Linked DNA regions of Tamandua tetradactyla. The protein of the gene in region 4 binds, or shares a complex with, the protein of the main gene of each other region. Links are inferred from orthologs where the notes say so. Each region holds a gene or a part of one and is shown on either strand. Other genes may lie near its edges. The genes, in order: LIN7B, DLG1, LIN7C and CASK.

The links.
Region 1: the proteins of CASK (region 4) and LIN7B are in contact, whole or in part, in an NMR structure (PDB 1Y74), measured with the Mus musculus proteins. The link is inferred for Tamandua tetradactyla from reciprocal best matches to the Homo sapiens genes CASK and LIN7B. Residues at the interface, in NP_001271432.1 of Mus musculus: Ala405, Arg408, Ala409, Glu411, Val412, Glu415, Ile416, Tyr419, Glu421, Asn422, Asp424, Ala425, Glu427, Leu428, Ile431, Leu432, Gln434, Phe437, Ala439, Leu440, Leu441, Thr443, His444, Val447, Ala448; in NP_035828.1 of Mus musculus: Leu10, Asp13, Val14, Arg16, Ala17, Leu20, Leu21, Arg23, Leu24, Ser27, Glu29, Leu30, Pro31, Pro32, Lys34, Leu35, Ala37, Leu38, Val41, Leu42, Ser44, Phe46, Cys47, Ile50, Arg51, Tyr54.
Region 2: the proteins of CASK (region 4) and DLG1 are in contact, whole or in part, in an NMR structure (PDB 1RSO), measured with the Rattus norvegicus proteins. The link is inferred for Tamandua tetradactyla from reciprocal best matches to the Homo sapiens genes CASK and DLG1. Residues at the interface, in XP_038955489.1 of Rattus norvegicus: Gly339, Ala342, Ala343, Arg345, Ala346, Val347, Gln349, Val350, Ser353, Leu354, Glu356, Ile357, Leu360, Thr361, Asp367, Leu368, Phe370, Leu371, Ser373, Val374, Phe375, Asp377, His379, Leu380, Thr382, Leu383, Leu384, Asp385, Leu386, Tyr387; in NP_036920.2 of Rattus norvegicus: Arg4, Asp7, Thr8, Arg10, Ala11, Leu12, Leu14, Leu15, Tyr18, Lys21, Leu22, Glu26, Asp27, Leu30, Ser33, Ile34, Arg36, Val37, Ser39, Ile40, Phe41, Ser43, Leu45, Phe46, Leu49, Ile50, Gln53, Glu57, Val58, Leu60.
Region 3: CASK (region 4) and LIN7C share a complex: the UniProt entries of both Homo sapiens proteins name them as parts of the brain-specific heterotrimeric complex. The link is inferred for Tamandua tetradactyla from reciprocal best matches to the Homo sapiens genes CASK and LIN7C.

What each region holds. Positions count from the first base shown.
Region 1 is NC_135342.1:12,006,658-12,014,275, forward strand, and holds the start of LIN7B (protein lin-7 homolog B), read right to left. Parts: upstream 3,007-7,618; 5' UTR 2,984-3,006; coding exon 2,947-2,983; intron 2,619-2,946; coding exon 2,500-2,618; intron 2,253-2,499; coding exon 2,181-2,252; intron 1,565-2,180; coding exon 1,355-1,564; intron 609-1,354; coding exon 445-608; intron 100-444; coding exon 78-99; 3' UTR 1-77. UniProt on the Homo sapiens protein: Plays a role in establishing and maintaining the asymmetric distribution of channels and receptors at the plasma membrane of polarized cells.
Region 2 is NC_135336.1:16,123,946-16,130,952, forward strand, and holds the start of DLG1 (disks large homolog 1), read left to right. Parts: upstream 1-3,991; 5' UTR 3,992-4,465; exon of another isoform or gene 4,466-4,494; intron 4,495-4,653; exon of another isoform or gene 4,654-4,796; intron 4,797-4,902; 5' UTR 4,903-4,933; coding exon 4,934-4,952; intron 4,953-5,617; coding exon 5,618-5,749; intron 5,750-7,007. UniProt on the Homo sapiens protein: Essential multidomain scaffolding protein required for normal development. Recruits channels, receptors and signaling molecules to discrete plasma membrane domains in polarized cells.
Region 3 is NC_135334.1:103,337,939-103,344,776, reverse strand, and holds the start of LIN7C (protein lin-7 homolog C), read left to right. Parts: upstream 1-3,836; 5' UTR 3,837-3,962; coding exon 3,963-3,999; intron 4,000-6,838. UniProt on the Homo sapiens protein: Plays a role in establishing and maintaining the asymmetric distribution of channels and receptors at the plasma membrane of polarized cells.
Region 4 is NC_135353.1:130,138,757-130,146,233, forward strand, and holds the start of CASK (peripheral plasma membrane protein CASK), read left to right. Parts: upstream 1-4,461; 5' UTR 4,462-4,630; coding exon 4,631-4,689; intron 4,690-7,477. UniProt on the Homo sapiens protein: Multidomain scaffolding Mg(2+)-independent protein kinase that catalyzes the phosphotransfer from ATP to proteins such as NRXN1, and plays a role in synaptic transmembrane protein anchoring and ion channel trafficking.

The DNA.
Region 1 (7,618 bases), on a different chromosome or scaffold from region 4:
AGATCTTTAAATAAGGGATGGTGACAATAAATACTGTACAGGGGTGGGGGCGGAGATGAGGGTCCAAATCTGTGGTTTTAGCCTCGAGACTCCAAAGACCTGCAAGGGGGTGAAGAGAAGGGAGCCAGGCTCAGTGGAGGGATCCTGGGAAGACATGGGAGAGGACCAGGACCCAGATTCCAGAGGCAAGGGCCCAGGGAAGTGGGTTCCAGATCTTGAGATAGGATTAGGCTAGGACCTCCCAGGGGATTTGACCAAGCCTTCACTTGGGTCAAGGGCCAGGAGGCCAGGGAAAAGAAGCCAGGCCTGGGTCAAGGGTCAGGGTGCCAGGGAAGAGAAGCCAGACCTGGGGGTGGCATTCAGGACCCTGGAATCATTGGCCTGGTTTGGGAGTCCAGGGCTATGTGGGGCTGTGGAAGGTCCCAGCGGTGACAAGGCACTCACGAGTAGCTCTGGTGCTGCTGGCGCCGGCGAGCGGAGCGCATCTTCTCGAAGCGGGCCTCCATCTCCTCCAGCACGCGGGGCGTGTAGCGCACCACCAGCTTTACAGAGCCCTGAGCGGCCTTCAGCAGCTCCACCGCCTTCTCGTGCTGCTCACCCTCAACGCTCTGCAGGGTGGTGCACCCACAGCTGGGCCCAGGGCTCATGGCCCTCTGCCTGCCCCCACCCCATAAACGGGAGTAACTGCTTGTGAGCACAGTACCGTCTCAAAATGCCAAGGCCTCCTGTCCCTATGGAGAGTTAACTCTTGGCTCAGTGTCCCCCCCCCCAACCTTTCAGGTTCTCTATGTCAGGTGTTAGGGATGACCCTATATCCCCTCAGTAACTGAACCTCACCTGCAGGCTCATCCTCATTCCCTACTGCCCTCAGTCCTCAGTTCTATCCCTCCTGCCCCTATTTCTTCTCCTTTGTCCCTCCTTGCATGTCCCAGACCTCCATCAAGGCCAAGCCCTTTCTCTTCATTTCAGAAGAGTACAAGACTCACAGCTCCTACCTGCAACAGCCTCAGCCAGGAATACCCTTTTTCACCTTGTTTGCCTGGAAAACTCCTGTTCATCCTTCAAAACCCAACTCAAACATTCCTTCCTCATTCGGATTGGTCTGATGCCACATCTGCTTTCTCACAAGGCTTTGTGCTTCCTCCCTCACAGCACATCATCTGGATCAGGACTATTTCAGTCAGGGTCTATCTGAGAGGCAATCCTTGAGTGTACGAGCTGAGGCCAATTTCTCACAGGGTCTGCAGCACTGCCCAGCCGTGTGGGCAGTCCTCAATCACTTTGTGTTGAATGAATGAATGTTAAAAGCAGGGCTGTGCCACCTTGGACAGACTATGCCTCAGTCACCACTCACCACACCATTTACGGACAGCAGCTGGTCCCCACGCTTGAGGCCTCCGTGACGGTCAGCCACGCCCCCGGGAATGACGCGGGAGATGTAGATGGGGGAGTTCTGCTCCTTGCCACCCATGATGTTGAAGCCCAGGCCTTCGTCTGTCTTGGGCAGCTCCACCACCCTGGGGTGAGCGTGGCCCTCACTGGCCGTGAAGGCGGCCACCGTGGCCTGGGAGAGAGACAGCATCTGGAGTGGATGGCCCCTCTACGGTGGGCATGCGGCCTGGGGTGGGGGATCTGAGTCTGGGAGGCAGATTGCTTTCCCCAGACATGGGGCGTCTGCCACAACTCAACTCCAAATCACCTGGTGATGACCATGTGCCTCCTGCTTTCACTCTAGGTGCTTCTGATTACTTCGGAAAGAAGTCTCGGTTTCGTGTGTATCTTTACCCCCCAACATCTGCCAATCTCACTTTCCATCAGTGGGAAACAAGCAAGGCCTAGAGGGAGCTGAGAGCCTGCAAGGAAGCTACAGGAAACAGTGTCTAACTATATTTCACTACGATTTCACTGTTTAATGACAGTCACTGTTTTCAACGTATAGATTTCTAAGGTTACCTTCTAGTCAGGAGGGCAGTACTGGTTTCCATTTGTAGTTGTCAAGGATGCCTTTGTAGGACTTTTGTTTGAGTAAAAAACATGAGAGTATTTCGAGGAAATCATAAATTTAACGGTAAGGGTGGTACAAAAGATTTGGCAAAAGGGATGGCTGACACGAGAGAGACACTGAGCTGGCCCAGGCAGTTCGTTCAGACCAAGAGGGATGGGGGGCGGGGGCCACCTACCTTCGCGGTGGCGTGGGCCCGGGTCTCGGCGCTGCCTGTGATGTCCAGCGTGTCGTAGAGCTGCTCGTACACCTGGGAGGGGACGCTGCAGCTTCGGGAGCCGCCGGGTCCCTTCTCCCTCGCACTCAGGGGGCCAGGCTCCCACACTCCCTCTTCCCTCCCACCCAGGGGTGCGCCCCGTCCCCGCAACCCGGGGCCCGAGGAAACTACAACTCCCCAAGAGCCCCCGAGCAGAACCGCGAGCGCCACAGGGCGGCCGGGCGCTGCTGGGACGCGTAGTCCCCGGGCTCCGGGCGGCCGGGCGCCGCGCGGCTCTCACCTCCCGGATGGCGGAGCAGAAGCGGCTCTGCAGGACCCGCTGGAGGGCCTGCAGCTTCTGCGGGGGCAGCTCCCCGCTGCGCTGGAGCCGCTCGAGGAGCTCCACCGCCCGGGACACGTCTGCGAGGCGGGGCAGGGGCGCAGCGAGGCGGCGGGAGAGGAGCAAGGGCGAGCGCAGCCGGACGCCCGCAAGGACAGAACAGAGCCGGTGGGCGCCGCGGTCAGTCGGGCGCCCCGCATTCCCCGGAAGGGCCCCCTCCCGCAGCCACTGTGCGGGGGCGTGCGGCCGGTGCCCCCCGCTGCGACCCGCGGACCCTCCCACGCCCACAGACCGCCCGGCCCGTCAGGCCCCGCCGGCTCCCCGCGTCCCCCGCGCAGCCCTGGCCGCGGGAGGGGTAGGCACGCGGGACCGGGGCCGGGGCGGGCAGGGCTCCCGGGGTGCGCTTACCCCGCTCCAGCCCCAGCGGCTCCACGAGCGCAGCCATGGCACTGCCGCCGCCGCCGCCGCCGCCGCCAGCCGCCCCCAGCCGCCCCCCTGCCCCCGCGCCGGCGAGGGGGGCGGGGCTGCGCGAGGCCCCGCCCCGCGAGACGGGCGCCCCCTGCCGAGACGCGGCCCCGCAGTGCCGGGGTCCCGACCTGCCCGTCTGCGCGTCGCGCTGCCTTGCCTCCCCCCACCCATCGTTCTGCCCTGTTTGCAGTCACTCCCACAGTAGTCTCTGTTTGTCCGTCCTTGCCACCACACCCGTCTGTCCTCTCCATCTGGTCTTATTTCAGCCTTCATTCGACAAACGTATATTGGACGCGGTGATGAGCAAGGCAGACGAGCCCACTCCATACACGGAACTTCGTGTCTAGCGGGAGAGGCACAACCAACTGCGGCTGTGACGAGAATCGGGAGTGGGGAGGGATGACCGAGGAGAGGAAAGACGCCGGCGCAGAACCTGGAGTAAGAGCGCCCCGAGGTGGGCGTGGCCCCCCTGCCGGAGGAGCGAGCAGCCTGCAGAGCCCTGGAGTTTGAAGGCCTGGAAGAAGGGCCCCCGGGGCTGGGTAGCAGAATAAGGATCGCAGCGATTTAGAATAGCGGTGGCATGTGGGCGTCGAGGAGCTTTTACTTCCTGCGAACCCCGTGATCTTCAAATTTGTATTTGAAGATCACGGGGGCCACTGTGTGGAGAATTGGATGGGAGCAGGATTAGGGAGGAACATGGTGTCCTCTTGCACCAGTGCGGAGGTTTGGAGGAGGATAGATTTGGAAAATATCTGGGTATGATTTAGGACTAACCAAATAGTGGAATAGGGAGTGGGGAGGAGGCCTAGGGCATATGAATATATTATGAAGATGACCTAGCCAAACCCCCCAAATTTCCAACAGTTAAAGTCAGGAAGAGGATAAAGAATGGCCAGAAAGGTGGAAAACCAGGTTGGAGAAACCATAAGAGAGTGTTTAAAAAAAACGAGTAGTCAGTGGTGTCGCATGCCAAAGGTAACTGGAAAATGTTTACTGAATGTAAGACATGGAATCATTGGTTACTTTAGGAAGAACACTCTGCAGGTAGTACTGGGGGAGAAGGCCAGACTGAAAAAAATGGACATAGGAAACGCTGACAAGTCTTGCCCCTCCATATTCTGGTTCAGCTGGATGGGGAAATGGATGGGTTCTCACAAAGTGGGGGAACTACAGCAGGTTTGGTTAACCCTGTCTCCTTCACAGTACTTTTTCTTTTATTTCTTTTTTAAAATTTCTATTACGGTAACACATACAACAAAAATTTTCCCATTTTAACCACTATCGTGTATAATTCAGTGAAATCACATTAACAATATTATGCTACTACCAACACCACCATCTGTTTCAACACTCTGAACTCTGTACTCAACAACCAACAATACCCATTTGCCCACTGCCTAGACTCTGATAACCTGTAATATACTTTGTCTCCATGTAAGTGAAATCACACAAATGTGTCCTTTTGTTTTACTTATTTTAGACAACATGATGTCTTCAAGTTTCATCAGAACTTCATTCCTATTTATGGTTGAGCATAATTCCATTGTATGGATATTCTTACTGGTGGATGCGAGTTGCTTCCACCTTTTGGCTGTTGTGAATAATGCTACAGTGAAGTTTTGTGTACAAATATCTGTTCATGTCCATTTCTAATTCTTTTGGGTATATACCCAGGAATGCAATTGCAGGGTCAAATGGTAACTCTTTATTACCTCTTTGAGGATTCACCAAACTGTTTTCCACAGCAGATTCACCATTTTACATACTCTGTGTCTTCACCGACACTTGTTTTCCTAATAATAGCCATCCTAGTGGGTGTGACGTGGTATGGCATTGTGGTTTTGATTTGCACTTCCCTGATGTCTAATGATGTTGAGTATGTGTATGTCCTCTGAGAAGCACCTGTTCAAGTCCTTTGCCTATTTTTTTTTTTTTTAACATGGGCAGGCACCGGGAATCGAACCCAGGTCCTCTGGCATGGCAGGCAAGCATTCTTGCCTGCTGAGCCACTGTGGCCCGCCCCCCTTGCCTATTTTTTATAGGTTGTTTTGCATTTTTGTTGAGTTTTAATTCTTTATAATTTGGGATATTAAACCCTCATCAGGTACATTCCCAAATATCTTCTCCCATTCTGTAGGTTGTCTTTTCACTTTCTGGATAATGTCCTTTTATGCACAAAACCTTTTACTTTTGATGAAATCCAATGTATCTTATTTTTTTCTTGTGTTGCTCATATTTCTATATCATATCTAAACCTTGAGAAAGGCACAATTAGGAGGTCCGTTTTGGGCAATGTTACAGATTCAATAACCTGCTTCCTAATACTGCCTAATACAAGGACCCGAAGATTTTCCCTGTTTCCTTCTGAGTTTTATGATTTCTTATGTTTAGGTCCTTGATCCATTTTGATTTTCTTGTTGCTGAAATGAGGTAGGTGGTGAAATTCGTTCTTTTGTACCATTTCCTGATTTATCAATTTTAGATGTTATTAAATATATTACATATAGGCTTTCTGTTCTTAGTCTTTTCTCTCTCTTCCCTTGATAGTCTTATGGTACCAATTTTTAATGAAGTCAATAAAATGCTAATATTATTACTGTAAATATTGTTTATCCTAGAGCCCAGGTTAGTGTTCTGTGATTACAGTTATTTTGAACAGCTTCTTGCTTTTTCTTTGGTTTCTATCTACCTTTTTTCCCCTTTTATCACATTCTGTTTCTTTCGAACTCTGTCGTAAGATATTTTACTGAATCCTCTCTTTTTATCCTGCAACTTCAATCTTCTTACCCCAAACTGGACCCAGCTGCTCTCTGGAAATCTCTGGGACTTCTCTTCATTGCCCTGCTGAATAGGATCCAACATCTCCATCCTCGTTTTGATGGAGAATAACCCCCACATCATAAAAAGGCTTTCCTTTTTCATTATTTCCCTTATTTTCAAGAAAGTCTGCCTATTTATTTTTCCTAACACTTTTAGTGTTCGTAACATAGACTGCAGGTTATTGAATCTGTAACATTGCCCGAAACGGACCTCCTAATTGTGCCTTTCTCAATCATCCTGTTATTTAGTTAAACTCTTTGTATTTTTCACTGTTTTCTCCTCTCTGGGCCTCAACCTGGATACTTCACACTCTTCTGTCTCTGGCTTACTAATCTTCTGTTCTGCTATGTATAATCAGTTAATAAATTCATCTACTGAATTAATTTTCTTCAGTTTTAGAATTCCCATGGCTTTTTGGGAGGTGGGTAGATTCCAGATCTGTTAAAATTCTCCATCTTTTCCTTATTTTGTGGTTAAAGTCTCACTAACTCCAACATCTGAAGCATTGCTGGGTCTGTTTCTTCAACTTTTTTTTTTTTTTCCCTCTTTCCATAGTTTCATTCTCTAACATGTCTGGTAATTTGCTAGGCGCTGAGCACTGTGTATTAAAGATCAGAGGCTGTGCCAGGCCAGGGCTCCAGGGTTCCTCTGCCCTTGGACAGTAGTGGGGGTGCAGGCAGCGGGCGTGGAGGTGGTAGGGACAGAGGCCGTGGGGACAAGTCCTGAGGAATTGGCTGCCTGGGCAACTCAGCTGCATTGTTATTGGTAAAATGACGTCGACAAGTGAAACGAAGGGCAGCATGCCAAACACTCCAAAACTCTTGAGTTTTGCATTATTTATTTTTCTCTTTTTTAAAAACACAAGAGCATTGAATCAAAGGGATTCTGAGGTTTTTTTAAAAAAAAAAATATTTTAGTATCTTACATTGCTAATTGTACAAGCTTTATATGGAAGCATAATCCTATGATTTTTTAAAAATGCAACTTTATTGAGATATAGTGTTTCATTTGTAATTCATCCAAAGTACATAATCAGTGGCTTGCATTATCACCACATTGTAACCCCATGATTTTTAAATAAAAATAGCGAAAAGATTTTAAAAAAAGATCAGAGGCTGGGTGGGTAGTATCTTCCTCCAGAGTTTTCTTCTGGTTGTCAGACCACCTCAATCCTGGTAATGTTCAGCCTCGGCTTCCTTAGGCTGGTCCATCTCAGTTGTCCCTTACTCCTAGACTGTGGCACTGGGACACTCAACCAGACACCCCACTTTGGAAGGCCTTGAACACCAATTCGGCTTCCCCAGAACTGCACGGCTGCTCAAATCTCTGCTTAGTTGTTTAGCCTTCCAGTTACTGTTTTCTGGTTTCTTGGAGGTTTTGCAATGAGCATGAGCCATTCAGAAACTGCTGAATGCCTTATGGGAAGACTGCATGTACATCTGGGTACTCGATTCGCTCCTATCTGGGAACTCTGCCTTCAAGTCCCAGCTACCGGATCCGAGTTCTGTGAATTCAGCCTAGGGGAGAACTGACACTTTCTGAGAAGAGTCCAGTACCCAGGGTAGACAGGTGAATGCCTTCCAAGAAAAAGCAAGGGTAAACATGAAGACCACTTTCTACGTACTTCCCCATAGAGATTAGCCCCAAGTTCAGCTTACATTGGTTGTTCTCCAATGTCTTTATGGATTTGTCCAGCCTTCATAATTGCTCTGTGCCATGTTAGTCCAACAGACTTTTCTTCATTGCCAATGCCAAAAGTCTAGCTACAAGATAATGTGGGGTTATCTTTGGG
Region 2 (7,007 bases), on a different chromosome or scaffold from region 4:
AAATGCACAAATTCACAATCTTTGGAATGATAAAGATAGAACTGTTGCAGAATGTCATAAATTATGATCTTTATTATGACATTATTTTAGATTAAGATATTTTCCTTCATCTTATTCAATACTATTTTACAGGAAGACTGATAGTGCAATGAAAAAACAACTATTGATTTATGTAAGATAAATAAAGAAAACATCAAAAGCTTCTTTTAAATAAGTTCTTTTGATGACAAAGAGGTGGCCAAAACTAGCTTACCATGGTTATAAAATTATTTGTAGTAAATCAAAGTCAATATGAATAGAATGCATGATTAGCCTATGATGTTGCTGCTAACATGAATGGAAAGGTAATAGAGTTGCAGCTAAGTCTAAGAAGAACCAAGACAATTTTTCACCATGAATTCAGGTCATGCCCCACTCTATATTTAGTCATTTGAGGCCTGTTGAGAAATAAAGGATGTCACACTTCTCTTATGAATTCTTTGTTTTCCACTATTCAGGTATCTATGAAAATACTGGCAATATAAAAACATTTATAAATGTAATTGAAAGTGTAACACAGGGAAGCTACCTATTTTTTTTAAACCTGTAGAACTGGACATCATAGGTCATTATCAGCAGTGAGGAACCTCCAGTGATTATTGAAAGATTCCCAAATTTCTTAATTGGCTCTTTTTTTTTTTTTTTTACATTTTTATTGATAGAACTTAACATACTAACACACAAACATTCTTAGCATACAAACATTTCATACATGGTATACAGTCAATAGCTCACAATATCATCACATAGTGTGCATTCATCACCATGATTTTGAACATTTGCATCACTCAGAAAAAGAAAGAAAAAGAAAAAAGAAAAACTCACACAGACGATATCCCTTTCCCCTCCCTCTCATTGACCACTAGTACCAAATTGTTCTTTGAACAGATACTTTCGGTCACCGGAGGGCTGAAGAGGCTATCTCATGTAAGGAGATTTCAGCACAATTCTTAATACTTTAGTAAGGGATCCTACAACTCTGCCAATAACATGAGTTCTTCAAAAGCAGAAAGGCAAATTTGGTTACACTTAGAAATTTATCTTTAGCAAAGATTACTAAATTTTTCTCTTCTCTCTGTTTCATAGAGGAAGATTGATTCTCCCTGAAATGCCAGTAGTATTCTTCCATCATGGAAAAGTGATCATTGTCCTTTGATATTTGTGTGCTGATGCTGTTTGGGAGCTCTTCTGTTTACATTACACATCTGTCAACTCAGGGGGTGGGACTAGATGGTGGCTAAGGGCCCTTCCAGGTTGAATGTCCCATGTATCTATGAATCCTCAAAGATTCTTGTCAGGATAAAGGAAGGAGAGAAGGAAGCAGAGTGTTTTAAAAATATACCTTTACATTAAAAAACCCAACTCATTTAGACATACCATATAACAAGGGTGTGGATATTCATTTCTTTGCGTTCAAAGGCTATATATCTGTTTACATCAAAATTGCTTTCATTGTTAAAGACATTCAAATATGTGATAAATACATAACAGACTATCCCATGACTTGTGCTTTGTTATATCTTATTCTTTATACTTTCTCAGACTCTCTCTTCACCCTCTTTCTCTTTTCTTCTGTCTCTGTTTCTGCCCCCCTCACACATTTACATTGTTGTTGTTTTATTAAAAAACAAAGCAAACAATGAACTAATGATCAATCCCAGTTCTATTACCAGCAAGCCGTGGTGTCCTAGACGAGGTTATTTTCTTCTTCTTCAGTGTTCTCTTCTGCAAAGTAGGAGATCATAACCAATAAATTTATGCCATAAGATGCTGTGAAACTAAAATGAGTTAAATTTGTCCTTTGAACAATGTTTGAAGGACTATACCAGTATAAAGTATGACTTTATAAGGGCGTAAATGAGAGGCGGTTAGTATTTCTACACCCACATGGGAGCCCATTAATTTACAATATAGAAATTTGAGGATGGATCTCTCATTATAAAGCAGGAGTTCAGTACCCAACCACCAAAGGCTAGAAGTTAGCAAGAAAGAAGTGTATCATATCCTCTTTTCTCCTTTTCCTCTTCCACCACCTCTTTGTTTTTAAGGCAGGACTAGGATGACATTGACAGCTCATTTATCTATTTGCTATTAGACCGTGGATCCTTAGCAGGACTTGGAACTTAAAATTTTTCCCCATTGCCTACTAAGTGAACATATTTGAACAATGAATGGCTTTGAGGGAGAAGGGTAAATTTCCCTCCCTCTTTCTCCTGAATTCTGAAGAGATTCTATTCTTAGGCTACATTTCTTCTTATCATTACATTCACAGTTCATCAATGACGTATTGATAATAGCATGTATGCCATCATTCATTTTCACTATTTTGAAAACCCCATCTCTTTATTTAAGCTTCTTGCTTTTAGGATCCCCGTTTCACTCTTCTGTCCTATTTTCTTTATGCAATATTGCTGTTACTCAAGCTCCCATGATGCTTGATCCAGAAGAGCATAACGATCTGCTGCCAATATACCAACCTATCCAGTTGTCCAAAATCACAGTGGAAAGAGTCCTGACTGGGGCTTAAGAGACTTGAGTTCTGGGGCTGCTCTGTCACAACCCTGTATGTCTTTGGGAAAGTTGCTTTCCCTCACAATTTCTTTATTTAAAATAAGAGTGGGTCTACATGAGCTCTAAAGTCATTGGGTTTTCCTGACAAGTTAGGATTCCAAGGTGCAATCCGAAAGTAAAACCCAGTGGTCAGTATACCTGTGAACAGCTGTTACAGTTACAGTACAGAAGGTTCCCTAGACTTCCCTTAATGATCCCATGAACACAGCTTCAGTGAAAGGTTGCTAGGTTTACTTGGAAGAGTCTTTGGTTTTGAAAGACAGGCTCTCCAGGTTTCTAGTCCTGTCACCAGCTCTGGTGACCCTGAGCAAATCCTCTCTGAATCTCAGAGAAGGGAGGTTCCTGTTATCCAGAGGAAGCTCGAAGACCTCGGTAACAACTTGAAGAGTTTTTTGCGATTCCCTTTCTTCAGCTCAGGCGGTTCAGCCTTCCCTCTGTTTCCTTCTGAGGTGTGTGCGAAACTTAAACCAGCCTTGCAGGCTGAGGCTGGCTCATTCTCTGAGGAGGTGGCTACAGGTGAGCTCTTAAAGGGGCTGGCGGAGCTTGGGTAATACCTGAGACTAGCGACTGGGCAGGGAAGCTGGCATGGAGGAAGTGAGAGAGTGAGCGAATGAATGAACGCATCTTCTCTACTTACCCTTAAATGCAGTCATACTTAGATGTAAACGTCCTCTGCTAAAACTCTCAAACTTTAATCGTATTTACCGATCTCCCTGTTTTGCAGCCTCTTCTTTAATTAAAAGCCTCCAAACTCTGCGGGGCGAAGAGCAACAGAAAAAAAAACAGTACAAAGTGGAGCAGTGTAAAGGTGGCACCCCGCCCTAACTCCTCCCCCCCATTCCGCTTCTAGTTCCCTCCCTTTCCCGCCCCCTAACATGGGTGGCACAGTCTGCTCCACCCCGAATAGGGATCCATCCTGCGGGGCGCCAGGCACTCTTATGTCGTGGAGTTGGAAACAGCACGTGTTTGGTGAGGTTAAGGGGTGTCTGGGAATGTGTGCCCAGGATCAGGTGTGAAGTCACGTCTTTCTTTAACGCCCCGACCCTTTCGGGCCTGACAACGACATTAGCTCAGAAACCGCGGGGCGCACCGGTGGGCTAGGGAGAAGTAAAGGCGAGCTCTTTCAAGGCCACCTAGACCACCTGTAGAGCCTGTACGTCAACTCCCTCGTCCTTAGCACCACTTCGGAGCCCGCCCCTTTACATGAGTAAGCCCACTCGAGACGCTCTCGGCGACCCCTTCGCGCTCCGCAGCTCCCTCCCCGCTCTCCTCCCCCTCCAACCCAAAGGTAGCAGCGCTGAGAGCCCAGAGCTCGGCGCGAGCCGCCTCCTCACTTCCCATTGGCTGAGAGCGCCGGGAGAGCAGTCACGTGGGGGCGCAGCAGTCCGGCTCCGAGGCCGCCATCTTGGCGGAAAGTTTGGGGGGAGAGAGATTGGGGGCGCGGAAAGAGCCGAGTTTCCGGGGGTGGGGCGGCCGGGAGAGGTGAGGGCGTGGGGGCTAGCAGGCCGCGGCGACTGAGGACGCGGCGTCTGCGGCCGAGGAGGAGGAAGAGGCTGCGGGAGTGCGGCCGCAGGCGGGAGCTCTTATCCTGTCCCCTCACCCCCTCACCTTAGCGACTGGAGACCCGGGCGGGGCGGGGGAACGTGGAGCCGGGCAGGGCTGGGGAGCCTCCTGGAGTCCAACTAGAGCGAACCCCGGCTCCGAGCGCACACCGCTCGCAGGAACTTTGTGGCCGCGCCGCAGGTGTGGGGTACAGCGGAGGCGTGCATGTGGGGCGTGAGGACGTCGCGGAGAGCGGCAGCTGCCCCGTCCGGCCCCCACTGGAGTAGCCCAGAGGAAACGGGCAAGGAGAAAGGCAAGTGAGAGCTTGGGGGCCCCAGCGGGGCGGGGTGATCAGCCCAGCTGGTCCCTTACTGGAGCGCTCCTTGGCCGCTGCTAGCTCAGGGGCCAACAAGGGTCGGAGCGCTTCTTGACCCCAAGTAGTAGATGGGGAGGCTGGATACTTTTGCCTAGTTGGGAGTGTTAATGGCCCCACGTCTAGGCATTTAGTGCTCTTTGGAGAGGGAGAAGCTTTAGAGAAGAATTTCGAAGAATGCACTTCTTTCTGCTCTTAATATGCAGTGGTACCTAGGATTGACACCGCAGGGTTTTGAGGTTCTTCCTTTCATTTGGGAAAACTTTGCAAGGTAGGCTTCTCAGATGGGGCTGGGAGGTTTTCGATTTAAGGGAAAGTGGTGGCTTAACCACGATTACTTTCTTTCTTTTTTTCCTTTCTGTTTTGTGTTTTTAAAGGTGCGTGCCCTCTTCCTGATTCTGGAGAACAATGCCGGTCCGGAAGCAAGGTGAGAATTTATTTCTGAACTCTCTTTTGGAGTGTCACCTTTCCGTATAGCTGTTTTGTGATTGCTGTGTTTTAAAAATGTTTGTGTAAGTTTGGTGAGACAGTACCGTCCTAGCTTTACTACTTGGGAAATCTAAGCTCACATCACTTCAGGAGATGGGAACACCTAAATGTTAAACTTTCTTCCTTGATATCTCTCTAAGCCATTAGAAAGGCAATAAATCCACCCCCTTAACTCTCCACAAAAATCTGCTTGCCATTCTTACTAAACGCTGTTTTTTGAGTGATTGTGAGATACTGATTAAGTACTAGTATTTTGAAGCATTTAAGATTTGGATTATGACAAATTGTGGATAATCTGCTTTTGTAAATCAGATAATCTGAAACTGTTGGTAATATTTTGATCAGATCTTTTACTGGGGCGGGTTACCAGTACACATTTATTACAGACTGCTCATCTTCACCTTTTTCCTATTGTGGAATAACATCTGTTTAAAAATTTTCCCGTCCTTCCAGGGAATATATGTCTACATGTACATAGTAAAGATTAACCTGGAGGATTCTGGGAACAGTTTGGATGTCTTGCAGAATCATTTGTCTGCATAGCTAGTGTGTAATAATTTCTTGTAAATATACAATTTTAACCAGGCTCTTTTTTTCTCTCAGATACCCAGAGAGCATTGCACCTTTTGGAAGACTATCGCTCGAAACTAAGCCAAACTGAGGACAGACAGCTCAGAAGTTCTATAGAGCGAGTTATTAACATATTTCAGAGCAACCTCTTTCAGGCTTTAATAGGTGGGAATTAAAAGTTTATTTATGACTATGTTATGTCTTAAAGCTTCTCTGAATTCAGTTATTTGAAACCAAAGAGAATGATATACTTGATTATCTATCAGACATTCAACAACTTGAACATCTTCAATGAGTTGTATATTTTTGATACACCAGTATCCTTTCCAAAAAATCTAATAACCAAAAATATTTCAACATGATTATTTTAGAGGCCTTTGATAACAAGGTTTATCTTTATTAAATGATGGAGAATTTGCGAATGTGTTTCAGGACCCAAAAGGTAGTTAGCTTTGTTCTGTATTTGACTTACATTTCTCTGGAGTCCTTGAAAATGTTTGAAGGGTTGTGTTATATTTAAGAACATTCATTTCCTTAATGTAGACATCAGTTTAAACTTTGTATTCATAGAGTCAGAAAATGGAAAATGATCTTAAAGGTGATCTTGTCTAACGATCATTAAATAATCTCTAAACCTCATTTTACAGAGAAGAAAATTGTGACAGAGTTTTAGTAAGTGTAACTTAAATTTGAGGTAGTGCATTGTTTCAAAGGAGAACTGGCCAGTAGTCAAGGGTCTTGAGTTCTATTTCTGATGTTACCATTAACTGAATGATCTTATGCAAGTCACTTAACCTTTTCTAGGCCAAAATTAGCTGTAGAATGCAGATGGTAAAGTAGAATGTGGTTTTTAAGCCTTTTTTTTTTTTTAAAGCGGCTAGATCCTTTTTAAAAACAAAATTTTTCGTTTCTTGACCAGTCCCTGATATATAGAACAAAGTGCTCTGTCTTTGACCCTCTCTTCTAGGTATCTTGAAAAGTTTGCAAATTATTTAACTGGAGAAGATTTATCCTTTCTAATTCTAAGAATAAATTTTTTTTTAAAATAATTAGTCACTGACTAGATAACTTTTAAATAAGATATAATACATCATTGCATTACTTTTATTTTCTCCTAATTCCCAATTAGAGGTGGCTTTATATTTATCTATTGGCAGAGTAATTGTTGGTGTGATTTGAAGAACTGCTTTCAAGTCAGTGTATCCTGTCAAATAACTCATTGGTAAATAGTTGCTCTGTACTAAGTATGCTTTAGAATAAAAATGATTTTTAAGAAGACCTCAGTACACTTGAGCACTTTTTAAAATTTAGCTTTATTATAGACTTTTAAAAACATATGCAAGAAAGAGAAAACAATATAATGAGCTCCATGTACTTGTCCATCCATCTTCAGAAGTTATCAACATTTTGCCATTTTGATGGA
Region 3 (6,838 bases), on a different chromosome or scaffold from region 4:
GGATTTAAAAGAAGATTATATATTGAAAAAGAAAAAAAATAGTGAACATGAGGATGCAGCATAGGAGCTGTACAAAAGGAAACAGAAGAAAAAAAAAAGATTGGGAAGAAAATGAGACAATGTCTGTGCAAGCCCAAAGACAATGGAACAGCATCTTTAAGGCAGTGAAAGAAAGAATAATGTTGTGGGGCATTGAATCATGTTCCTCACAAAAGGCAAGCACATGTCCCAATCCCTGGTCTTGTGGGTGTGAACCCCTTTTGTAAATAGGAATTTTGAAAATGTTCTTGGTTAAGTTGTAGTGAATCAGGATGAGCCTCAATCCAATATGGCTCACATCCATTTAAGCAAAGGAAATTGCACACAGAAAAAGAAGCCACGGAAGCAGGCTGAAATTGGAAATCAATGGAGCCTGTAAGAGAAAGGAGAAGATGTGGCTATGTGCATTGCCATGTGATAGAAAAGCCAAAGATCCTCAAGGACTGCTGGCCAGCTGGAAGATACCAACTCCAGAAGGAAATAAGCCTTCCAGTTTCTAGAACTGTAAGCCAACACATTGTATGGTATTTGTTTTAGCAGCCAGAAAACGAATACACCTTTCAATCTAGAATTCTATACCCATCTATACCCAAAGATATCGTTCAAAAACTAAGGTTAAATAAAGACTGTTTCAGATAAAGGTGAAGTAATTCATTACCATCTTGACTACAAGAAATGCTACAGGAAATTCTTTAGGCAAAAGGGAAAATAATTACAGATGAAAATCTTGAGCTACAGAAAAGAACAAAAACAATGAAATGGTAAATATAGGTAGGTAAATATAAAGATCTCTTTTCTATTTTTAAAATCTTTTTTTAGAGATAATTGATTATCTAAAGCAAAAACAATGGCAATCCATTGAGGAATTTTATTTTGAACTTCCCGCCTCCCCAGGAGGGGGAATATGGGATAGTACTGTTATAAAGTCCTTAAACTATGCATGAGGAGGTATAAAATTACTTGACTCCAGATTTGGATAAGATAAAGATGTATACAATAAACCCTAAGGCAACTACTTTAAGAAAGAGGGATAGAGAAAGAGATACATGTAAAAAATAGGCCCAGAAAATAAATAAAATAGAATCATAAAAAATACTTAATTGATCCAAAAGAAGATTTAAATGGTGATAAAAAGTAACTAAGTACAGATGGCTCAAATAGAAAGCAAATAGCAAGCTTATATATTTAAATTCAAATTTATCAACAATCGCATTAAATGTAAATTATCTAAATTGGATAATTTTATCCTAATTGAATAAAAAGACCCAATTACATGCTGACTATAAGAAACCTACTTTAATTACAAAGACACGAATAGGTTAAATATAAAAGAACAAAAAGATATACTATAGCAGCGCTAATCAAAGAAAACTCAAGTGGCTGCATTAATAGCAGAGAAAGCAGATTTAGAACAAAGAATATTACCATAGATAAAGGAATAAATGCATAATGATAAAGATGTTAAGAGGAAATATTCTAAATATTTACGCATCTAATAACAGAGCTTCAAAATACATGAAACAAAAATGAACTGTGAAGAAAAATAGGCAAATACATGATTTAATTAGAGATTTTAGCATCCCTCTTTCAATCATTGATGAAACAAGTAAATAGAAAATCAGTAAGGATTTTAAAGATTTGAACAACACTATCAGCCAACTTGACCTAATTGACATTTATATTACACTCTATTCAATAACTGCAGAATTCATATTATTTTCAAATGCACACAAAACCTTTAATAAGATAGATCATGCTTCTGGGCAATATAACAAGTCTTGATGTATCTAAAATAAATCAAATCATACAAAATATTTTCTCTGACCATGATGGAAATAAATTAGAAATAATAAAAAGATATCTAAAAAATCCACAAGTACTTGGAACTAAATACCCATTGGGGGAAAGAAGTTATCAAAAGAAAAATTAGACTATATTTTGAACTGAATGAAAAATTGTGGGATGCACATAAGCCAGAAGTTTTAGGGAACCTTCAATTCTAAAGTCCTCTGTTAGAAAAGGAGAAAGGTCCCAAATGAAAGGACTCAGTTACCACCTTAGAAATCAGAAAAAAAAGAAAGCAAGCAAAGTAGGCCTAAAGTAAGCAGTCATCTACCAAATTTTAGGAAACAAATATTACCAATTCTATATAATCTCCTATAGAAAATTGAAGACGAAGAAATACTTCCCAATTCATTCTATGAGTTCAGCCCATACCAGACAAAGACACTATAAGGAAACTTCAGTTCAATATTGCTTATAAAAATAGATGTAAAAATTCTCTTAAAATATTAGTAAATCAAGTCTAACAATATATGTAAAGGATATAATACATCATGACAAGTGGGATTTGCCCCAGGAAAGCTCAAGAATTTTTACATCTATTTTACATCATACAGCTGGTAAGAGATAGAGCCAGGTAGTCTAAGAACAATGTCTGCATTTGTCTTATTCAACATGATATCCTCAGTGCCTAGGAAGGTGCCTAGTAGACATTATACATGTAATAAGCATTTACTAAATACATTGTAATAGAACAAATGACAATGTAAATAACAGATAAGCACCTGAGTGCAGGGCATAAGGGAGGTTGTATGGGGAAAGGAAGTCTTAGTGGAAGTGGCTGTGTCTTCAGTAGGGATGTGGAGGATGGGTTCAACTTGAGGGTATACACACTTTAGAGAATCAGAGGAGATGTAGAAGAGCATTCCAGGCAAGAAAAACAATGAATGAAAACCTTGTAGCAGGAATAACCATGGTTTTGGGAGGGGTGACGCTTTATGGGGTGATGAGAAACGAGGTTAGATGGGTAAGTTAGGGTCAGAGAATACAAGGCTTTAGAAATAGAAAATAGGAGAGAAACCACTGAAAGTTTCTGAATAGAAACTTTTGATGATGAAATTAGTGTTCAAGGAAAAAACAGAATGCAGCAGGTGACATTCATGATGGATTAGGGGAAGAAAATATTATAATTGGATGGAGAGGGTAGGCTGGGAGCAACCGGGAAGTTGTTAAAACTGTCTTGTCATGAAGAACAGAAAACCTGCATGTGAAAGCACCTAATACGATGTCAGCACAGACTAGGGCTTGGGTAAACGTCAGTAGGATCTAAATATTGGGAAAATTAATACTTCATTTAAATTAGGGACTAAAGTTTTTTTTGGCTCATAAAATTTTCAGAAGTGCTCCTAGGAATCTGTAATGCATTATTTGCTTTATAAAGTTACATTTATACATTTATCAGCAATTAGAAATTATTCTGTGATGTACCACAATGCCTTGTTTTCTCCCTCACCATATGTTTCATGCTCTTTATACTTTCCACCATCCTTTACCTTTACTCTCAAGCAGATTTTTAGGGAAGAGTTGAGTCTTGAGTTTTTTAAATTAAATAACTGCTTACCACAAAAAGAAATCTGCCACGCATAGGCACTTTATTGACAATATTTCATCTACACAATCAATTGCCACCTCAGAGATTGGATTCCTTCGTCGCACAGATGAGGAAACTGAGGCTGAGAGAACGCAGGTAAAGCATTCAAGGGTCAGTGCTGCTAATGGTGACGCAGGGACCAGGATTCCAGGCTCCCACTGACTCCTCTACGCGGCGCCAAGGGTTCCAAGCAGATAGGATAAAGCTTGAATCCCGAGGCAGGGTGCAACAGTCAAGAAAAAGGCTCTTGTCAATCTCGGGAGGCCAGAGGATTCGACAACCGGGCATCTGTTTGAGAACCGATAGAAAACACACCGTAAGAGACTCGGGAGCTCCCCGCACAGGGACTTCAACAAATCCCAGCACTTCCGGAGCCCTTCCTGCTCTCGCGATACCATCCGGCCCTAGCCCGGGGGCTCACGGCCAGGTTCCGCCCCCATCACAGCCCCTCTGTCGTCATTTCCTGTGGGGCTGCGGGCAAAGGGAGAAGATGGCGGCACTGGGAGAGCCTGTGCGGCTGGAGAGAGGTGAGTAAGGCCGAACCGCGAAGAGGGGGTTGGACGGAGTGCTGTGTAGCCTGAGGGGCGGAGGGGCGGCCCGGGAGTCCGCCCCGTGCCCCGCGCTGGCGTCGGTGACCGCGGTCGTGGCGGCGCCGGGCCCTAGCGAGGGTGCTCGCGGTATCCTGACTGATACCCAGACTCCGCCTCTGCACGCACGGTTTGTCTCTTGACATAACACTGTCACACACGCCTTGCCGGCGTTCGCAGGCACACGCCACACACGCGCTGCCTGGATGAGCATAGCAGAAGCAGTGTTCAGAGACGAGTAAAGCGGAGAAAGTAAACACACTACCAGCTCGTACAGACACACACACCACTTACAGATTTCGTTATATAGACCTCACGCCCTACCTGTATGTAAGTGCGCACAAACCCAGTGTCCCCGTCTTCACCCACGTATCGCACACTTCCCGGTCACACAGCACATTCCCAGAAAACCCTATAAACTCCATTGTTACTTTAAAGCACATCCTCACTTTTACTTGGGGTGGGTTATTTCCTGGCTTTGTGCCTTCCTAAGTGCTTTTAAAACGATCCTACTTACTTGGTCTTGGGAGGGTGATTACATAACTGGATCACCGTTTCCTAGGTGGAATAGTGGTAGATTGTAAAGTATTTGAAGATGCACTTCTTTTTTACAAACGCTGCAGTTGCTAGCTGTGGTTGGTTGCTTGTTTTTTATAGAAGACTGTCAAGGAAAATAGAAATTTCTCTTCTGAGTAAAGAAAGAATAAAAAGCCTGTGAAAAATACGTGCCTATACCCGTACCGGGATGTTGTTAGAGATTTTCAGCATTCCACTCTTTTCTCCCCAATTTCTTTATTTCACGCAGTTTCAAGCAAGCTTTGATACACCACGTAAGAAGTCTGCTAAGAACCAAGAAGTACAAAATAAACATTTTGAGTACTAGTACTAAACAAAGCCCAGGATGAAGATTGAAATTATCTTGCAGTGATTAATATTTGCAGTTATAGTCAGTATTAAATAGGTCCTATAAGAAGAATACATTTTTAGAATGATTCTAGGAATACCTCTCTCCTCTTCAAGTCACACAAACAAATGAGCATATTGTTAGTTTGTTCCTTATGGTGTTCACCATTTAGAAATTTCTTACAGATGAGTTTGTTTCTCTTCAGCTTACCAAGGCATTAATTAAAGCATGCTTTCTGACAGAGAAGTAGCTACTCTGAGAAGATTTGCTAAATTAAGCTTAAAACGGTAACATCTTCCTCCTGAACATAATGGCATTGTGCTTTGTAGATGAGAACAAATCTGGTGTTAACAGGAGTAGGTGTTTTTTTCCTTTGAAAGCCAGTTGTAGCATTCTAACACATTGGCATTCATTTGTATTTTAAGTACAGCACAAGATAATGTGGAACTTCACTCCTGGCATTTAGTTTTGGTAGCCATGGCTTTGTTTTTGCTGTTTCAGAATTATTTTCCTTGGTACAGCATGCTCAGCACCTTAGTAGGATGAATTACTAATGATAGCCATTTAAACAGGATGAAAGAGTCAGTACATCAACTCTGATTATTTTGAATTCTGTTTCACAGACTTTATTAACAAACACTTTCACCCATCCTGCAGTGTAAAGTTGCTACACATAATCAAGATCCTGAGCGCCTTCTAAAGCATCAGAATGTGATTCTTTGGGACGCATTTGAGCATATATTAGGTACAATTTAGATTCAATAAGAGAATTTAAAGTCTACAGTCTGTTAATTGGAAGTTTTTATATGGGTTATGTCCTATAACTTTGTAAACAAAAATTTGATGAACCAACAGTCCCCATTCTCCAGCCATTCTAGTAGTGGGAAGTCAGCATGGGGAAGGTATGTTTTTGTTTACATTGCATTTGAACAGCATCAGTTTAAGCTTTTATTATTTGAAACTTTCTTCACTAGATTTACTCCTAGTTTTCCAGCTGCAAACACAAAGCCATACTAATTCTATAAAGCAATTTTTCCCATCCTTCAGTGTAACATAAAATTTAGAACTTCTTCGAATAAAGACAGAAGGAGGCAAAGGATAGTAGAAAAATGCTGCATCCACCAGCGGTACAGAAAAAAATCAAAGTAAGCATAGTTGTTAATAGTGTTGTAAAACGTATACAAATCTTATAAAATATTTTAATTCATAAAATATTTGAACACTGGGCGGGCCACGGTGGCTCAACAGGCAAGAATGCTCGCCTGCCATGCCAGAGGACCCGAGTTCGATTCCCGGTGCCTGCCCATGTAAAAAAAAAAAAAATATATATATATATATATATATATATATACATATTTGAACACTTAGCGTTATACTTCCCAATCAGAATTGCCTAACATGCTTAATGTAGTTGTATAAATTTCTGCAATCTCTTATTATTTTATATAATTAATTAGCACCAATTTAATATTTGTGTTTGCTAAATGCCAGGCCCTGTTCTGAGCACTTTATATTTATTATTTGGTTCAGTCAGGTAACTCTTATGATGTGAATTTGTTGTATCTGTTTTATATTTGAGGAAATTGAGACTTCAGGGTGGTTAAAGTAACTTGTCCAGGATCACACAGCTAGATTTAAAACCAGATGACAAAATTAATTGTTTTTATTTTTTTATTCTGTAAACAAAAGTATTTGATCATGCTGGTCTTGATTAAAACATCATGTTAATGATCCTAAGTTGAAAGTGCACCAATCCATTATTTTCATTCATTTACTATTGTTTTAAATGTGTTCCTGTCACTAGCATCAGGTTATTAAGCAGTGCGTATCTTTGTGTGTGTTGTGTTTTTCTTTGGGAAATGAATAGTGATTTCA
Region 4 (7,477 bases):
TAGATTTGCTAACAAAAAAAATCACTTCTTCAGTTGGGCCTTCCCTAACCAACAGGGTGGGTTAAGTCCCCTCCCTATTTTCTATCTGTACTTCCCCAACCCTAACAATCATCACTTTTCATTGTATCACTTGCATGATAGGTGTTTTCTTCTAGAACAAAGCTCAAAGAGGGCAGGGACCCTGTTTGCTTTATTTATAGCTGTAGCCTGGTGATTAGCATGGACATTCATTGGATGAATATAAAATAAATGATTTGCAACTTGGCATCAGAGTATAAGTCTAGTATATGTAGCCTTTTTTTGGAGAAATTAATGATGTCTTTTGTTTGAACTTAGAACATCCTATTTATAATAAGAGGCAATAACTTTATTCCAGTTTAGAGCTGTGTTGCTGTAAATTTTATTCATTAATTAAGTAATAATTTATATGTTTAAACAATCTAGCTACAGAATGAGGCTGAACTCTAAAATGCCTAAATTAATTCTGTACTACACTGACCTCAGTATTGTTCTCATGCTAATATTTCTCTAGGGTTTGTTTTCCCTTTTATTTCTGGATCATGTTGAAATTTTATGGGAATCCAACAGCCAGAGACTATCAAATGCAACCATAAGTCCAACACCTAAAAGCCATTGAGGATATTCACTGACATTTCAGAAACAAATTTGTTTAGCACCAAACTCAGTCTTATGAGTTATGAGATATTTCCTAATTTTTAAAGGACTATAAATTATATACTAAAGGTATATATCTACATTACGATGGAGATACGAAATTATTTCATTGGTAATTTTCCTAGTGTTGGAGATACTGCTGACTGGCTACCAGAAGCCATTCCCTACCTGCTTCTCCATTGCCTATTTCCAAAGAAGAGGCAAGAATAGTCAAATACTCTTGCCCCAAGCTTCCCTTGAAGTTGAGGGTTGCAATGTGACTGTTCTGGCTAGTGAAATGGGAAGAGATATTTTCTTTCCTTAATAACAGATGGGAGAGGAGCAAAAAATGCCTTCCTTACTCCCATTTGCCCTCTTGCTTCCTGATTTTGAATACAGTTTGGTATTTGAAACTGTGGCAGCCATAGTGTGATGATGAGGCAGCAAGCTTGAGGATGAAAAGCTAACATGTAAAGGATGGTAGAGTGAAAAAAAAAAAAAAACCTAGGTTCCTGGTAACAAAGTTGAGTAGTTGAACCAATGGTAGCAACCACCTACCTCCAGATTCCTTGCTACATGAGAAAGATACCCAAACCCCTAATTCGTTTAAATCACTGTTAGTTGAGGATTGTTATTTATATCTCAACACAATCTAAGTGATACACTTAGTCACTTTAAAATTTTCTTTGTGGAAACTAAAACAGAACTAAATTGACACCAGACCATTTGTACATTGGGTATAAATACATTGAGTATTGGGTTTTTGGAAGAAATCCAGAAAAGAGCTAATTTCATTAAGAAGTCTTAGTTATTTTAGTTTAGATGCATAGAACTACCTCCAGCCATAATGCATAGTACAAATTCTTAGGGATGTGTATTACAGAGGACTTCTTCTTTATGACAAAATACCACACTTGGGACTAGGAGATCTAGATTCAGATTCAATGTTTAGCTAATTATGTGACGTGGACATCTATTTGTCTTTGAATTTTTCACCTGTCATTTTTAGGATGGTTTCTTTGAAAGTAACAGGGAATTCAACTCAAAATGGCTTAAACAATTAGGGAATTCATTGCCTTATATAACTAGGATGTCTGGAGGTTTGGCTGAACAAGGAGATCAATAATGTCATTAAGGACACCGTTTTTCTCCATCTCCCCCCCTGCTGCCCTGAGTTCCACCTTCATGTTATGCCTGCTTCCTCTCAGGGGTACTAGATGACTGCCAGCAGCAATTGAGGCTGCCTCTTTATTCAAAGCCAGAGTGGTGATTTTGATGGGGGTGTGGGGGGTGGGATGAGGAGAAAGAGGGTGTTGGAAGTGATGTTGGGGAAAGTCCTGAGCTTTGTGCTGACCAGAAGACCTTGAACCATTCAAAGCCATGGCCATGGAATGCCAAGAGCTGAATAAATTAGGTCAATCTTTGTGACAAAAGGGCTGGATTTATTAGTTTAATGAATCAGGATCCACTTTTCCAGGTGAGGTGATTACAATCCCACCTCAAGTTCATGGCCACTATCCAATGGTGGAGGGGAAGATTGGCTCTTGGGAGAGCAACCACCATATCCCCCCACATCTGAGGGAATAATGAGGAAATTGGACTAGCTCTAAGGCTCCTTCCAGATCTAAACTCATGATTCCATGAGCAGAGAGCATACCTACCTCGCCTTTTTTTTTCCCCTTAACCTCTACTTTCTTTTCTGTTTTACCTTATAATTGTCCTTTTCTCCCTTTGAGCATAGGTCCCTGTGAAAGATAAAAAACCAAAATGAAGTAGTCAACAGCCTTGGCATAGTTCCCATTTGGGCTGGGAAAAGGAAGTGAAGTCGACAAGGTGACTTGTTAGGGTTGTTGTGCACTTCAGGGCAGAAGGGAGTGACCTATTTATTGGGGGTGAGTGATTTGGACTTGTACCTTAAAGAAGGCCTATGTTTCGCAGGCTCTGGAGCTCCCCTCCCTAGAGAGTGCACAAGCTCTTTGGGAAAGGAGGAAAGCAAAGCCTTCTTGTGCAATTATAATTTTCCTTTGATCCGCATTGTATAAAGGGGGACTTAGTTCCTAGATCCTTAACGCTGGAAAATTCCTCAGCTGCTTGAGGGAGTGGTCGAGGCTTTGCACCAAATACCACTGAAGCGAAAAAAAGGCTGTGGATCTTCACCCACCCCTCAACTTTAGTAAACATTATATTTTTAAATTACCACACTGAGAATTTTACCACATGATTTCTGAAAGCTGACTTATGAAGTAATTGGGCACTTCTGCTGTGCGGAGGAACAAAGACTTTTTTTTTTTATTGCGCTTTAACTGTGAGATATATACCTGTCTGATGGTTTTTGCTCATTCCGCACATGCTCAGTTGAACAGAAATCTTCATATTTGAATGGAACCTAGCTCAGTGGCAACACGCAGAACCGCCTTCCCTGGCTGACCCTGTGCATCCACTCCCTCTAGTTGCTTTTTTATCCTGATATGTCTAACACTTACAGGGAGTATAGGCAGCAGACTAGGTGCTGGGGGTTTGAGGGAAGGAGGATATACAAAAGGGCTTAAAGTCTCAGTATGCCCCTGCATTCCTGAGCTCTCTAGGTGTCCATACTGCGGGTAAGAGCTGGATAGGTATTTGCTGAGTTTGGAGCAAAAGGCGGGAGAAGCTGTCTGTAGAAATTACCGTTTGTTGTTGCATACCTTCCCAGACGCTTTTTGTTTGGTCCTTTTCTTGTAAGTGGGCATACCCCTTCTCCCAGCCCTCATCTTCATAAAGGAAGTAGAAAGTGGCACTAAAAGCATCCGCCGCCTGGCACAATCTTGAGTGACACTCTCTCTACCTGTCTTCTTTTTTCATACATCAGTATCCTTTCCCTGCCTCCTTTCTAGCAAAACTGGGAAAGGCTTCCTGCCCTTACAAAAGAAAGGGGGGTGCATAAGTGGTTACGAGCCCGTCGCAGCAGACAGCCGAGAGCGTGCGCACGATGGTGGGCCTTCTGTCCAAGACTCCTTTTGCGGCTTGGTCGCAGGCAGGGCGTGGAGGTGATGACCCAGACAACCCCTTCCTCCGCAGCTGCTGCCGGCGAACCCCGCGGGCCAACCCCCCTCCCACTCTAGATTCCCGGCGCCCGCCAGTTAGCTGTGACGTGGCTCTGCATCGAGCGCATGCGCCGGCCAGTCCGGTTCACTTCTCTCAGCCACCACCTCCCAACCGGCTGGAGTGGGCGGGGTCTGGGGTTCTGGAAAGCCGCGCGGCCGAAGAGGGAGGAGGGTGTGTGCGTGAAGCCGTGCGCCGAGCTAGCGAAAGGTTCGGTGGCTGAGGCACAGTAGGAGGAGCAGAAGGCGGTGGCTGCGGCTCCCGCCCGCACAGAGCGCGCGTCTCACGAACCTCCCTCCCACTCTAGGGCGGGCGGCGGCGGGGAGAGGAGGAGGAGGAGGTAGTGGAGGAGGAGGAGGAGGAGGAGGGAGCGTCTCTGCCACCGCCTCCTGGTCCCCAGCGCCGAGCTGCCGCCACCTCCCTCCGCGGTGATCTTCCCTCCATGGTCCTGCCGCGGCCCCCCCTGTAGCCCGAGCTGCCCCGCGTCGCGCCGGAGCCGGCCTCGGGCAGAGGGAACGGCCGCGATCTCGCGGCCCCCGAGGGCTGACGAGCTGAAAGCGGGGAGGTGCGCGGTCCCTGAGGATCCGCACTCCGGGCAGTGCGGCCCCAGCAGCGCGAGGAGCGGCGGGCGGGCGGGCGGCGTCGGGCCCGGGCCGCCCTCACTCCGCGCCCCGGCCCCGCCGCCCGCGCCGGGGCGGTCGCCCGCAGAGGCAGGCTCCGCTGCAGTCTCCGGGCCTCGCCGCTGCGGCCCGGCTCGGGCGTACTCAGCACCGAGGGCTCGCGGGTCCCGAGGGGAGGAGACGATCTCCGGGCCGGGCGCTGAGCTCTTTGGCGCCCCCACCCCCGTTTTCGGAGGCCCACTCCCCACCTCTGCGGCCCCTGTCCTCTTCGGACCATGGCCGACGACGACGTGCTGTTCGAGGACGTGTACGAGCTGTGCGAGGTGATCGGCAAGTGAGTCTCCACGCGAGGCAACGGGAGTGTGGGAATATGCATTTCAGGGATGCCCTGGTCCTCCCGCACCCGCTTCGGGCCTGCCCCCTGCCCTCCCAACCCTCCACCTCCCTTATCCTCCTCACCCACGAGTATTTATAGAAGTACCTGGACCGGGGTCTGGGGTTCTCTGCGATGTGTTGAGGCAAACGAGGCGATGTCGGGCACATGAGGCGCGGGGCGGCAGAAATCTGCTGCCTGCGTTTTATCTGATGGTTGCACAGGGACGTGGCAGAACCGATTTTATAGTTGTTTCCTGGGAACAGTTGGGCTTATTGTTACCTTGAATGTAGCACAGACCAGTAATGAAAAGAGCAGCTTGCATTTCCTTTGCTTGCATGGAGAGGTAGACGAAGAACGTCCAGGATTTTCAACTATGGGGTGTGTGTCTATTGTGCAGGATATTAGATGCCTTTGTGCTCACCCCATGTCCGGATTGGAGGGGGTCATTTAAGACGGGGTGCGTTTAGTTTCAGCAAATTCCTCACCTAGCGTAGATGAACATGGGAAGAGTTGGAGACATCGTAATTTCTAATGCCTCATTTATACGGTGACTTTGTTCGAAGCTTTCCTTGAGTGTTGATGGTGGTGGTGGTTAGCGTGGTAGAGCTGTCTGCTTTGAGTCACCCGGCTGGTCTAGAAGATAGAACTGACAGTCCAAATGCTCATCCTTTCATCTTTGTTGTATAATTACACTAGGGAAAGGCATGGAATCAGATTAATCACAGTGCTGATTGAGAATTAAATCTGCAGTTCTTCATCTAATTGTCCATTCCTTAAATCTGTTTTGAATAGTTTCCTTTTCATTCTTGTCAAACACTATTCCAAGTGCACAATTCTTGGAAGGGAAATGCTGGCAGTTTGCTTGTGAGAGAAATGCTGGCTGGCAGTTTGAAGTTGATTTCCTAGTTCAGCGTTGTGTTCTCTGGCTTTAGAAGTTGGGGAGATAAGATTTAAGAGTAATTTTGGCTTATTTAATAAAGATTGCTGGGTAGCTACATCGAAATATTTATTGCCTATTCAGAGGTCTGTATTTGGGAATTGAAACCTTAGAACAGTAGGCTCTATTTCTTTTAAATTGTCTGCAGTACTGAATTTCAATTTGTTTAAGTGCTGAAAACTCATTTTTTTCCTTCCATATTGAGGTATTACAGTTTTGCATGAAATGGTGAAACTGTGAGTAGAGGTTGCTACACACTTTACTCACACCCAATTGCCAGGAGGACATGTTACTCCTTGCCCCTATTGTTACATGACCAGCCTTTCTACTAGAAGGATATACAAATATAACCCGGTAAAGTGGTTGAGGAAGTACTCTAGGGCAGCACTGTCCAAAGATATAGAATGTGAGCCACATATGTAATTTAAGATTTTCTATTAGCCACATAAAAAAAGTAAAAACAGGTGAAACTATTGTCCATAAAATATTTTATTTAACTCAATAAATCTGAAATGTTATCGTTTCAACATGTAATCAGTATAAAATTTTTTTTACTTCCTTTCTTTTTCTTTCATGTGAAGTCTTTGAAATCCAGTTTATGTTTTACATGAACAGCACATATCAATTATCATACTAAGCTAATTTTCTTTTCGAAAATACTTTATCTGTATTTAGGTTTCATAAATTTTACATTTGAAAAAGTAGATTCACATATCTAAGTTGCTCCAAACATACTTAAAAGTTTTCCAGTAGCAGAATTGAGCGTGTGTTTCTAAATTTAAATTTAAATTATTTAAAATTAAATAAAATTCAAAATTCAGTTCCTCAGTCAGATGTTTCAGGTGCTCAGTGGCCACATGTGAATAGCACCATTCTAGAGAGACAAATATGCCAGAAATCTCCTTGGTTTCTTTATTTTTAGGAGCACCCAGTGAAGGTAAATTAGGTGTTTCCCCAAAGCAGCAAAATGACTGTGTGTGTGGGTGAACTATGTTTGTTGCATCTTAGTTATATCTGATGTAAATGCGCCAGCAAAGTCATAATTGGAAAAGGTGAGAATAAAATGTTGGTTATATTGTGATGACTGAAAATAGCCAGCATTGAATCAATTTTGATAGCTAGTTCTGATTACTTAACATTTTTAAGAGTGGTGATATGATATTTTAGGATATTTAAAATAAGTGATCAGCATCACATTAGCACAATCAGTATTTGCTGACTTAATTGATAGAATAGTTTTAGGAAACACTCCTGGTAGAGCCAAATCCATCTCTTTTGTGGTTTTGAAGCTGCTTGAGGAGAGAGAGCAAGCTAATTTTGAGGTGATAGGCATTCTATGGCTACCTTGACTACTGTGATCTGTGAAATCTTGTTCATATCCTACAAAATCTGACTTGGTCAGTTCCATTGACAATATGCCACTCCGTGAATAATGAATTCCAGGTAATCTTATTGGTAACGAATGTAATGATAGTCTTCCTTACCCCATGTAAAGGTTGAAGGTTTTCTAGTAAATTGTCTCAGCATATATTGATCTGAAAATTGAAATTCACTTGAGATTTTCTTGTAGGGACAGTTGACAGCATATCATTTTAACTTAGGATTTGTTCAACTCTGAATTTAAACAGAAAGGCCTTGAAGATGCTCACTTGTACTAAAAACATTTTTGTTGATGTCTGTCCAAGGTCTGTGGAATTTTGTTTTTCTTCTATACCAAATAAGTACCATCAGTTGTTTTTGACCACTAGGGTTTTAATAGCTTTAAATTTTTACTAAGGCCTCTTTAAAATGGATTTAATTTCCCAAGAC